Oryzias latipes: one gene and its partners. The protein of the gene in region 1 purifies or fractionates together with the protein of each later gene. This does not show direct contact. Links are inferred from orthologs where the notes say so. Each region holds a gene or a part of one and is shown on either strand. Other genes may lie near its edges.

The links. Proteins that work in one complex are often made in the same cells at the same time.
Region 2: the proteins of hdac2 (region 1) and brms1 purify together in Homo sapiens (co-immunoprecipitation; 4 studies listed by BioGRID and IntAct, with this or other methods). This does not show direct contact. The link is inferred for Oryzias latipes from reciprocal best matches to the Homo sapiens genes HDAC2 and BRMS1.
Region 3: the proteins of hdac2 (region 1) and cdyl purify together in Homo sapiens (affinity purification with mass spectrometry; 6 studies listed by BioGRID and IntAct, with this or other methods). This does not show direct contact. The link is inferred for Oryzias latipes from reciprocal best matches to the Homo sapiens genes HDAC2 and CDYL.

Annotation. Positions count from the first base shown.
Region 1 is NC_019882.2:21,620,997-21,623,784, reverse strand, and holds the end of hdac2 (histone deacetylase 2), read right to left. Parts: coding exon 2,757-2,788; intron 2,687-2,756; coding exon 2,546-2,686; intron 2,187-2,545; coding exon 2,078-2,186; intron 1,473-2,077; coding exon 1,342-1,472; intron 1,251-1,341; coding exon 1,095-1,250; intron 1,018-1,094; coding exon 960-1,017; intron 850-959; coding exon 819-849; 3' UTR 571-818; downstream 1-570. UniProt on the Homo sapiens protein: Histone deacetylase that catalyzes the deacetylation of lysine residues on the N-terminal part of the core histones (H2A, H2B, H3 and H4).
Region 2 is NC_019876.2:12,603,283-12,607,417, forward strand, and holds the start of brms1 (breast cancer metastasis-suppressor 1), read right to left. Parts: upstream 2,912-4,135; 5' UTR 2,780-2,911; intron 1,001-2,779; exon of another isoform or gene 890-1,000; intron 810-889; 5' UTR 804-809; coding exon 578-803; intron 497-577; coding exon 406-496; intron 301-405; coding exon 173-300; intron 1-172. UniProt on the Homo sapiens protein: Transcriptional repressor. Down-regulates transcription activation by NF-kappa-B by promoting the deacetylation of RELA at 'Lys-310'. Promotes HDAC1 binding to promoter regions.
Region 3 is NC_019875.2:12,883,877-12,888,082, reverse strand, and holds the start of cdyl (chromodomain Y-like protein), read right to left. Parts: upstream 2,912-4,206; 5' UTR 2,616-2,911; coding exon 2,592-2,615; intron 2,422-2,591; coding exon 1,737-2,421; intron 1,236-1,736; exon of another isoform or gene 1,172-1,235; intron 1-1,171.

The DNA.
Region 1 (2,788 bases):
GTGTTACCAGCCCCCTGAAGCACAGCGGCTGCTTCTGACGGCAGAAACAGGCTGAAACAAATCTGGATCCTATTTGATTTTGTTCCCACCGTCATCCTATCCAGGTGTGACACGTTAACCTGTGCGGCGGGAGCTGAGTGAAGTCAATGTTGCCTCATTCTCATCTTTCCTGTCCCAAACCAGCACAGAACCCACCCGCCTGTCCTCTCTGCCCACATGTCAGAGCACATCCATGATCTTTACAGCATGTCAGCCTGTTTTTAAAGCCCAGAATCATTCAGGTGGGGTCGTTTTAAGTTGAATCTGGATTTCTTAAAACATTTTGTCGACAGACTACTCCTCTGGAGAATAAAACTTCTATGTGGGTCAAATGTTTAACCACTTTTTGAACAAAATTCGAAACTAAAAGTTAAAAAAGCCACAAGTAGTTCTGGATTTCATGCTGACCAAATGATTCCTGTATGTGATTCTACCTCAGAATGTAATAATTATGGAAATCAAAAACTCTTGGTGACCTCTAGTGTCTGAACAGTTTTACTACACAAATCCCCCAAAAGAATCTGCTCAGGAAACAGTATAAAAAGTTTTATTAACAAAGGCAAATTATCAAAAATTAACAACTTCTATTGGAGTTTCACCTGCAGAGTTTTGCTAAAAACAAAAAGAGCTCAAGTTTCCTTCAGAAGATCAAGCACATTGGAAACACATGGTTCTGGAAAAAATGCAAAGTGGTTGTTGGAAGGGACTTGGAGTCCAACCATGGAGTCTCAATAAATAAAATGCCTCTCCGTGACGAGCTGCACGGCGGAGAACCGGGTTCAGGCGCTGCTGCTCTGCTCCGTCTTCACACTGCAGAGGAAGGTGACAGGTGGATGTGAGGGTGGAGTCCGAACAGGAAGCTCAAACAACGTGAGACCATCACAGGATGGAGTCCTCCACAGGAGCTGCTGACACTTCACCTTTTGGAATCCGTTTTCTCTGAGTTGCTGTCCTTCGTCTTCTCCTCTTCCTTTACATCTATGGATGGAAGTAGAAACGTCAGACGCTTCAGATTCCATCCAGCTTCTTTCCTTCCCATCTGCCCCGTTACCAACCAGCTTTCTTCTCCTCTCCCTCCTTCTTTTCCTCCTCCAGGCGGGGCCGCTTGCCTCCCTTCTTGTGGCTGGCCACGTTCCTCCGGCCTCCCTCCCCTTCGTCCTCTGAATCGGAGAACTCCTCCTCGCAGACTATCCTCTTATCCGTGGCCCGAACTGTGGACACACAGCAACACGCTGATGCAGCAGCGGGGACGTGGGCGATCACGGGAGGTTTGTGGAGGGCGGGAAGTGCGAGCAGTCTTACTAGACAGGCGTTTGTCGGGATCCTCCTTGTCCTCGTCCAGCGGATCGTCTGGGACGGCGTCCTCTGGGATGGCCTGCATCTGAACTCCTGGAGCGTGAGGAAGCATCCGCAGGTTCTCGAACAGGCGCTGCCTGAACACACACACGGGCCGTCAGTCTGACTCCCAAGAGGCGTTTAAACAACTACTTCATCACACAAAGACAAACCGTTTGGTTTCAGTTCAACTGAAAAACGGCTAAATGAGATGGCCGCTCAACCCGGTGCCAAGGATTACTAGATCGTCTGAGTGCTGCTGTAGACTGGTAGTGAAATCAGACAATCAGGAGCCGTTTGCTTGTAAAAAGAATAAAAAATAGTCACAGCAGGACAACTGAAGCTGATGAGAGCCTCGACTCCGTTATCCAAATGATTTTCACTCTGCCATTTTAAAAATACAAGTAAGGGCCTGAACACTTTGATGTCAGAGCAGTCACCAACAAGTGCAAAAGAACAAACGTTCTTACCACGTTATCATAACTCTACAACTGTTTATGCAATGAGTGTAACTCCAGAGCAGCTTTGTGCCACAATGCAACACTTCACGTTAGCAAAGCCACTGTTGTCCGGGTCAGAACCAGCTGGTTTACATTGATCGTGCAAACACTTCACCATCGTGTTGCATATCAGTGCTGCTTTTCTGGTTATTTCATCAATACCGACACAGAAGCAAAGGCCCGGTAATTCCAGACAAACGTACTTGATCTTATCCAGGTACTCCTGTGTGTTCTGGTTGGTCATGTTGGAGGGGCTGATGTGCAGCTTGAAGTCGGGTCCAAAGTACTCAAAGTAGTCGTTGTAAGGCAGTTCTGAAGGAGTCAAAGAAAGAGTCAGATGCAGGAGATCTCTGCATGGAAAGCAGACAAACTGATGCTTCCAGCAGCTGCACAGAATGAGGAGCTCAGAGGCCCAAAAGCATCATGGGAAAAGACTGTTGTGTTAACTGAAGTCAAAATACAATCTGAATTATAGCTACCAGCTTTAAACGTTTTGGTTCTATTGTTGATTCGTCCGCAGAAGCACCTGCAACAAAAGCAGCTGTCCTCTGGGAACAACGCTCCTTCGTTTTACACGGAACGTTTGCACCCCCTGCTGGTTCACATGCGTACCTGCATGAATGCATGCAGGTCACAGCAGCTGAAGCTCTCTGACACAACAAGAGACCAACCGTCTGGGATTTCCGTGTCCAGAGCCACAGCAGTCTCGTAAGTCCAGCAGCGCGCCACATTGCGAATGGTATATCCTCCTCCCCCCAGCATGAGCAACGGGAGGTTGAAGGACTTGATGTACTCCACGCATTTGGCATGACCTGCAACAACAACGCGTTAGGGCCGTCCTGCCGGTGTCACTCATGCAGGTAGCGTGGGGCTGCGTTGTACCGCGGATGGTGAGGTTGAAGCATCCGAGGCGG
Region 2 (4,135 bases), on another chromosome or scaffold:
TTTGTACTTAGAGCCAAAAAATGTTCATAGAAACTTGCGTTACAACTCGTGAACATGAGAGTTTTCAACATGGAAGTCCAAAATGCACATTGACGTGCATTTACGCCTGAATGTGCGTTACTGAGGCGGGGTGAACGTAGCTGCAGAAGGGAGGAGGGTTTTTTTCTTTTACCGGCGACTTGCGTCCGTATCTGCATGCTGTTCTGCAGAGCCGTCAGCGGCTCCCGGTACTCTCCAGCCTTTCCTGTCAGCACCTCATCCAGCTTCACCTTCACCTGGTTCAGCCGCTCCCGGAACAGCCTGCAAGCACAGAGGCCCTTTAGTCGAGGTTTTCCTGACCAGTGATGTTCACATAGCAGACCACATCCCATAATACCCCCCCCCCAGTGCCAAGTTTGGAGTTACTTCTCCTTCAGCTCCTGAAACTGTTTCTCCAGATCCATCATTTCATCGAGACACTCTCCTCTCCTCCGCTCACAGTCTTCATCGTCCATCTCTTCACAAAAGGACACATAAAGGAAATTTATTCTCTCTGCATTTTTGAATCACTTCTATAAAAAACCTTTTTTGTTTTTACCTGAACTCTCCTCTTCCTCCTCCTCCTCCTCCTCCTCTTCTTCAGTCTCATCCAGGTCGCTGTCCCTCTCCTCCATGCTTTCCTCCATGGGCTCGTCTCCTCCCCCTCCTGCTCTCGTTTCATTCCGCTTTGGCTCCTCCGTGTCGCCGTTGGCCGTAGGGAGTTGGGACTCTCCTTCTGCCCCCATCTTCTCCTCTGGCTCCCTCACAGGGGGTTGGGCCGGCATGGCGAGCTGGAAACAACAACGACAAGCTCAACGACAAAAGCTTTCAGTCACAAAATCCACATGTCCCTGATGGTCCACAGACCTACCTGAGTGTTACTGAAAAAGGTTTTAGTCTGTCATCTTAATGGTTCATGCGATTTAGAAAATCACAAAGAAAACCAATGAATCCATTTAAAAGAATTGATATACATTTATTTGCATTTCACTGAGGGAAATTAGTATTTGATCCTTTAGTAAGAATTAAGAGTTCTGGTTCACACAGACTCTCCTAATCCTGTCACCTGAATTGAAGACACCTGTTTGAACCAATCCCCTGTAGAAAAGACACCTGTCCACAGAATCATTCAGACTCCAAACTCTCCAACATGAGAGACTAAAGAGCTTTCACTGGATTATTTGGAGAAGATTCTAGATCTGTTGACCCCAAGAGCACCATCCCCACTGTCGAGCGTGGAGGAGGAAGTTAAATCTGATCATACAGCCAAGTCAATCATGGAAATGGCTGCAGAGGAAGCAGATCAAAGCCATGGAGTGGCCCTGGACCTCAGTCCTATAGAAAATCTATGGGGAATGCTGAAGCTTAGGGTTGCTAAGCGACAGCCATTAAGGCTTGATGATTTAGAAGTCATTTGCAAAGAAGAGTGGACCAAGATTCTTCCTGATATGTGCAGAAACCTGATAATCAACTATGTCTGACTTCTGTGCTGCTAATAAGGCTTTTCCAATAAAGTACTACGTCTTCCCAGCAAGACAGTTAAAATAATAGTTTCCCTCAATGAAACGCAAATAAATTCACAAATACTTTAAAATCGATTTCTCGCTTTTCTATCTTTCACTGTTCAAATGAACATAGTGTTCAGATGACAATTTCTTTTGAATGCAAACCAACAAAATCAGCAAGAGATCAAACACTTCCTACACTGTATGTCAGAAATGCATTTATAACATCTGGCAAAACAAATGCTTTTAAATCAAAGCCATATATTTTTTAAAGTATTCTTGTGATGATGTTTGTAAGATATGCGGCATTTGTGTTTTTACTGATGGGATGACCTCGTTTATTTGATAACATTAGGAGTTTTAAAGATTCTTAAAGATGTCCAAACAGTTTTTGGTCTAACAGATTCACGTTACATTATTATACACGTTCTACAGGTGAATTCATTAAATTACAACTACATTTATTCAGTATGTAATGTGGTTAAGTCAAACCTTGACGATGACTTAGCTTTAATAAAGCTACAATAACAAGGGTCAAAACCGGAAATCGATTAGCTAAAAACAAATGCTAAATAAACAATAATTATTTTACATTGCATAACATGGCAAAATGTGTAATAAGCGTGTGGTAAAAACTGAAAATAATTTTTTTCTAAACGTCTAAAGGCCTAAAAAGGTTCAATAATGTTGAAAATTGCCATTTAGGTTTTTATTCAAACCGGAAGTCCGCTTTCACAGTGCTTAACTTGACCAAAACTGGCTTCCGTATGGAGGTAGAGTAAACTGGTAAACAAAATGAAAGCAACGGCGGGATTTAAAGCCTACACTAAAGTCAGGAAAAGAGACGCTCGTTTTGAAGGCTGCACTCACTTAAAAACCCTGTAATGTTTATTTCGCATTTCGGCCGCACTTTCACCACATTGAGCTCAAACACACCTCCGTGAAGTCAAGTGCAACACAAGCTAACAATTGAATCAAAAACGGAGACGGCAGTCACTGCGCACGCATCACATTTACACACGAAGGAACCGCCTTTCTCATGGAAATCTTCTTGAAACGTTTTTATTAATTAAAGATGGAAATTAGCACTCCAGAGAATCATAGGAGCATCTTGCAGACCGACCTGCCAACCGAACTACACGGATTAACTCGAAGAACGCACTCCCTGAGTCCGAGCGGACAGGGGGATGCTATCCGCTACTAACAAACATAAATCATCTTTATTACTGTTAAGTCAGACGTGAAAGCCATCTTACCGTGTCCCTTAGCCGAGCTATGCAGAAGAAACGTTCGGTTTAATGATATATTTCCATTTTGGAAAGTACTTCCTCTTCGATCGGCTCCTCTTCAGTTAGACACTTTGCCGGACTCTGTGAACTGTAAAATCAACCAATCAGCGTCGAGGGCTGCTCCTGACTATCCAATAGGAAGAACCATCCCGCAAGCACCCTGTCCAATCAGAATGAAGACACAGCTTCTATGAACCAATTGTAATTTAGATATACATCTCCAACATATAATTTAAATATAATATAATTAAGTAGAATGAAAAATTGTTGTTTAAACACAACACTACAAGAAAAAAATACAATTTCTGATTATGTTTACGTCACATGAAACGCAAAATGTAAAATGAAATTGAGCATAAAATAATTTTGCTCAACCTCATGCATATACAGCAAAATTTTTTTTGATACGTGTAATAATAAACGGAAGAGCAAAAATATTGACATTAAAAGAAAATGATCCACAAATCGTCAGTTTTACATATTTTTTATTAAAGTTGCATAAAAGTAACAAAATTGGGCAAAAACAAGACCTGTTGTTGATATTGCTACATGTGTTTGTTGGTTTGCCTAATTTTTAAAAACTGTACACTCCCCTAACACGTCTAATCTGCATGGTTTAGCTCTTGTATTTAACCTCAATGGTAAAATCGTTTTTTTTCTTTCCCAAACAGTAAAAAAAAAACCAGACTTGTCAATAACAGTCTAAGAAGACATAATAATAATCCAAAACTTGAACTTTAAAAATGAAAATCCACTGAAATTCAGCTGCTGACTGAACTTGCCTGGTGCAATTTTACTGATCGAAAAAGGGAAGAAAAGTAAAAACTAAAAAACAGCAGTCGATCTATCTGGAAACATCATTGAGAAGGCAAAAACAATCACATCTGAATGGATTTTTCTTCAGCTAACAAATCAGTCCAAGGCTTGGCGTTGAGAAGGGTCGCGATCACAATTTATAAACAGACCAGCATTCAAACACATGGTTTATCTGAACAGCATCACTGCATCAAGGCCTACGGCAAATATGAAACACACCTAAAAAATATTGGTTTAAAAAAAAAAACAGAATCTCAAAAAAGGAAAATCCAAGATTCTCCCACAAGATGTAGCTCCACCTGGTAGCACATCTAAAGAAAAAAGCAAAGATGTCTCCTGTTTATTTGGTTTGTGTAACATAAATAATACCTAAGGCAACATCTGTTTGAAAACAGGAAACTCAAGAGCGATGAGGGAGCAGGACAGGAGGATGCATGGAAGAAGGTAGGAGGGGATGGCAAGGAGACGGTGCAGCAGGATAAAGTGGGCCCCCAGTGTGTGTGTGTG
Region 3 (4,206 bases), on another chromosome or scaffold:
GCTTTATTTTAGGGCCTTCTCTTTGTTGCTTTAACAATCTGCCACTCTCATCAAGAGAATAAGCATAAAATTCTACAGCTATGCTGATGACACTAAGCTTCATGTGGATCTATGACCATCTCTCCAGGTGACATGGCACCTGTTTCCTGGATATTTCAACTTAGATAGCGGAGAACTTCCTTCGTCTGAACCCAAGAAGCTTATGTGGTATGCCTTGGGTCCACTTTTATGGCCTCAAATGGGCATTAAATGAAATCAATCTGATGGTTGGAACAATGTGTTTGAAAAAGAGCTCATTTGTGACGTAGAAAATACGCTGAGCCAGAGCCACAAGCTTCCTGCTCCACTCTTTTCCACAACAGATAGGGATGGTGGAGGGTTAATGGTCCCACCTAAAAACTCAGAGGTAATTTTCTAATGATCTACTGACCACTCTGCAGAAACCATGTCCAAGAAAATGACTGTTTTTTTTTTTTGGCTTAAACTCCACTATCATTGTTAGAAGACCACTGGGAACGCTTTCAAAATAGATCAGTGTGTTTTCCAAAGAACAAACCAAGTAAAATACACAAAACGTTGATATTTTTGGTGTAAACCTGGGAAAAAGAAAATCCACGGCTCCCAACCTCAGAATGTCTTTCTGAGGACTCGAGAGCTTAAATAAGTTTTAGTCGAGTTAAAACCTTTGGGACGTGAATCTCACCACCTCAACTGCCTCATGTGAATTTGCCGGGCTTTCGCCAGAACCAAGACCTAGCATGCATTCAACTACTTGATGGACCCAACACTAATAATATTGATAGGAATAAAAGAAAACTGGGCTTTCGTTGATTCTTGCAAACAAGTTTTTTTTGTTTTTTGTTAACTTACCTGTGAGATGATCTGACTTTTATGTCTTTAATAAAGAAAAAGTTAGACTGTAAATATCCACCAAAGCTTGTTTAAAAATGTTGCCAAAATCAGATGTGGGGTTTCATGGATGAAAGGTAAAGTTCCACTCCTATCCATTCTAGCTAGTTAACAAATTCTTAAAAAAACTATTAGTTAATGAGTTGTAAATGACCTGTTAAAGTCCCACTCCAATTATCTTTTGTAAAATTGTTCCTAGTGGTCTTTTTATGAGGATTATGCCGTTTTACCCAAAGCCAATAAACCCATGTCTTTTTTTTAGGGCAGAGCGGCAGGAGTTGATTAGAAAGTCACCTGGGAGTTGGGGGCAAGACTGTTCGCACAGAGTAAGTCTTTCCTCACTTCCCATCATCCCTTTGTTTACACGCTCTCCCAAAAGCTTACAGACCGCTGCAACCAAAATGGCGAGCAATATTGAGGATAATCAGCCGTACAGTTTTGAGCCAGATGCCAGCTCAGACGAGGAAAACAAAGACAAAGATGGATCTATTTGTCTACACGTGGAAGCATCAGAACGGAGAACAGCAGGAAGCTTGTGGCTCGCTGATTGTAACACTTGTATCACTGGCACAGGCATTTTCAAACAGCTTGTTTGTCTCCTGATTAACAACAGTGTGATTGAGGAAATATTAAGAAATATCATTTTAAGTTTCATTTCCTAAAGCCTGTTCTCCATCATCATAAAAATACCACAACAACATGTTTAAAACACCACTTTCATCTCAGTAGTCTCTCTGGAATGGGTTTCTAAATAAAATTCTCATATGGTCAAGTTCCGGCTCGAAAAACCGTGGGTGTGAGCTCCACGTGACTGCCACATGACTCACCTGAGCTGCTGAGGGAGCGAACAGCCGCAGGTGTGATGGGGGCCCGGGGCGGGGAGAGGGGATTCTGGGTCCGGGGCCTGGTTCCAATGCGAGCCCTTTCCTCCCCAGGGCCAAGCTGCACTACAGGTTTCTCCAGCAGGGCGACCTCTGGCGGAACCAGGTGAGCCTCCTGAGTGCCCGCCTCCAAGCTGTGCGCCGCCTCGCTGGGGGACTCCTCTGAGTCGGGGCGGCAGTTCATCGGACTCTTTGGAACCAGGATCTTGATGCCCGTCTTGGAAAGGTCCACCCCTCGGCGTGCAAAGCCCCCCAGAGGGGCAGAGATGGCGCAGGGGGTAAACCTGTCAGGTGAGGTTAAGGGGGCGGAGCAGGACAGGTGAGTGGGACTGAGGGGCGTCCTCACCTGGACACAGGCCCTGCTGACCTCGCTGCTAAGGTCAGCAGATGCAGGGGAACTGGGTGGCGGGCCACACTGTGGTCGATGGGCGAGGCTGCGGGTGGAGCGCATCAACGCCCCCTCCCTCTGTCGCTCAGCATACTGGCGATTGAACTCTTGAACGTAACTCACACAGGTGGACAGGTGACTCTCAGGCTCCCAGGTGTCACTCTCTGCACCATAGCCCCTCCACCTGACCAAGTACTCAACCTTCCCCTTCCTGCTCCTTCTCCTGTCCAGGATCCTCTCCACCTGTGGGACACACGTCAACGTCATGGAGGAGTTGTTCGGTGACGTCAGCTAGTAACGATCAGAGGGGTTGTTTTTTTTTACTCCTAGCATACTGACGTCACAGCATAAACTTTAAAAACCTGCCAACCATCCTAAACTTCACGGTTAGCATTAGCATTAGCTTTTGTCACCTCGTACAGCTCCTGCGTGGCCATGTAGAGCGTGCTCGTGCACGTAAAGCTTCCAGAAGCTTCTTTACGTCAGCAGCAACATGAAGAAAGTCTGAAAGTCTGTGCGCGTGCAGCCGCGTACGTCCGTTTACCGGCTGCTCCGCTTCGGTCTCCCGTGACGTTGCCGTTAGCTGTTAGCTTGTGTGAAATTACGCCTTTTCCGCTCTCCAAAATAAAAGTCTCGTGTCAGATAAAAGGAACAAATTCCCGTTGATTCCAACGGAGAAAATAAGGCAAAATTACATATTTTCAAATAAACTTCTTGCTGTTTAGTGCTTTATTTTTATTTATGACATTTGCGGGAAGGTTTTTGGCAGTTTTGGAGTCATTTGGAGTTATTTTTGAATTATGTGTTGTTGTTTTTGGTAGTTGATGGACTTAAGAAAATTCAAATTTTACTCTCTTAAGTTGTCAATTCTTTAATTTTAAACAGCTCTAAAAAGAATTGCTTGAGTCTAGTTTAGAGTTAACTATAATTAAATGTAGTTATCTTTAATAATCAGCTGAAATTACATGACTTACAGTAGTATCCTTTCCCTTATCAAAAAGTAGTCCACTCAAAGTTGATTGGATTAAGTATACGTAAGTATACTGTGTCAAGTATACTATAGACCTAGTATGCATAGTGTATGAAGTGTACTGACTAAATACTTCTTCAGACTAAATTGGAACATTTTACGTGTACAATATGAAAAGTATACTTAAAGAATACTGCCTCACCTTTAGTATTTGTGTAGCACACCTTAAAGACTACTTTTTGCTAAAAGTGTGTTCAGTTTTTAAAAATATTTCACCCATAAAAAATTGTATCTGACCGATTTCATTGTTCATGTTCATGATGAGGTGTCTTTACCAGTAAACACTGTGACAAAACATATACAGACTAAACCAGGTCTGCAACCTGAGACCCCAGAGTTGAAGGTTGGCTCTTTACCCTCCATTGTGGCTCTCTAGCTGAAGAAAAAAATAATTATAGAAATGAGAAGCATATGGCTAATTAGCATTAATTCAATTTAAGTTTGTTGAGGTTATGTTATTGTGCTGAGGCGTACCTAGAATAGTAAGATAAACTGTGTGAATGTTTAGCACTGTTGACATTGCACTAGAGGACTGGTTTGCTCTATCATTCCTCCAGAATACCAGAATGTACCTACAAAGTAACACTTTCATTACAAATAAAAAGTATGATCTTTCATTACCATATTTATTTCATGAATTTAAAGCATCTTTTAACTTGTGCTGCACAATGATGTTTAGTAGCTGTCCAGAGGGGAGTTGCTAAAAATATTTAAATGTTCCTTTTCTATGTATACAATTTTCTATTGGATCATAATATAAACCAATGAAATCAAATTCAGGTTAACACCAATAGGATAGTAAGTAAAGAAAAGGATAACAGCCTACCAAAGTACACTTAACCCTTGTGCTATCCTAGGCACTTTAATGTTGGGAGTTGGGTCATCTAGACCCACTACACAGTGCGCTGAACCTTTTTTCTTCAATGATTTGTGATCTTCACTGGTGTCCATGGATTACATGAAATCTTTCCACCTTTATCCACCTTTGTCATGGCAGG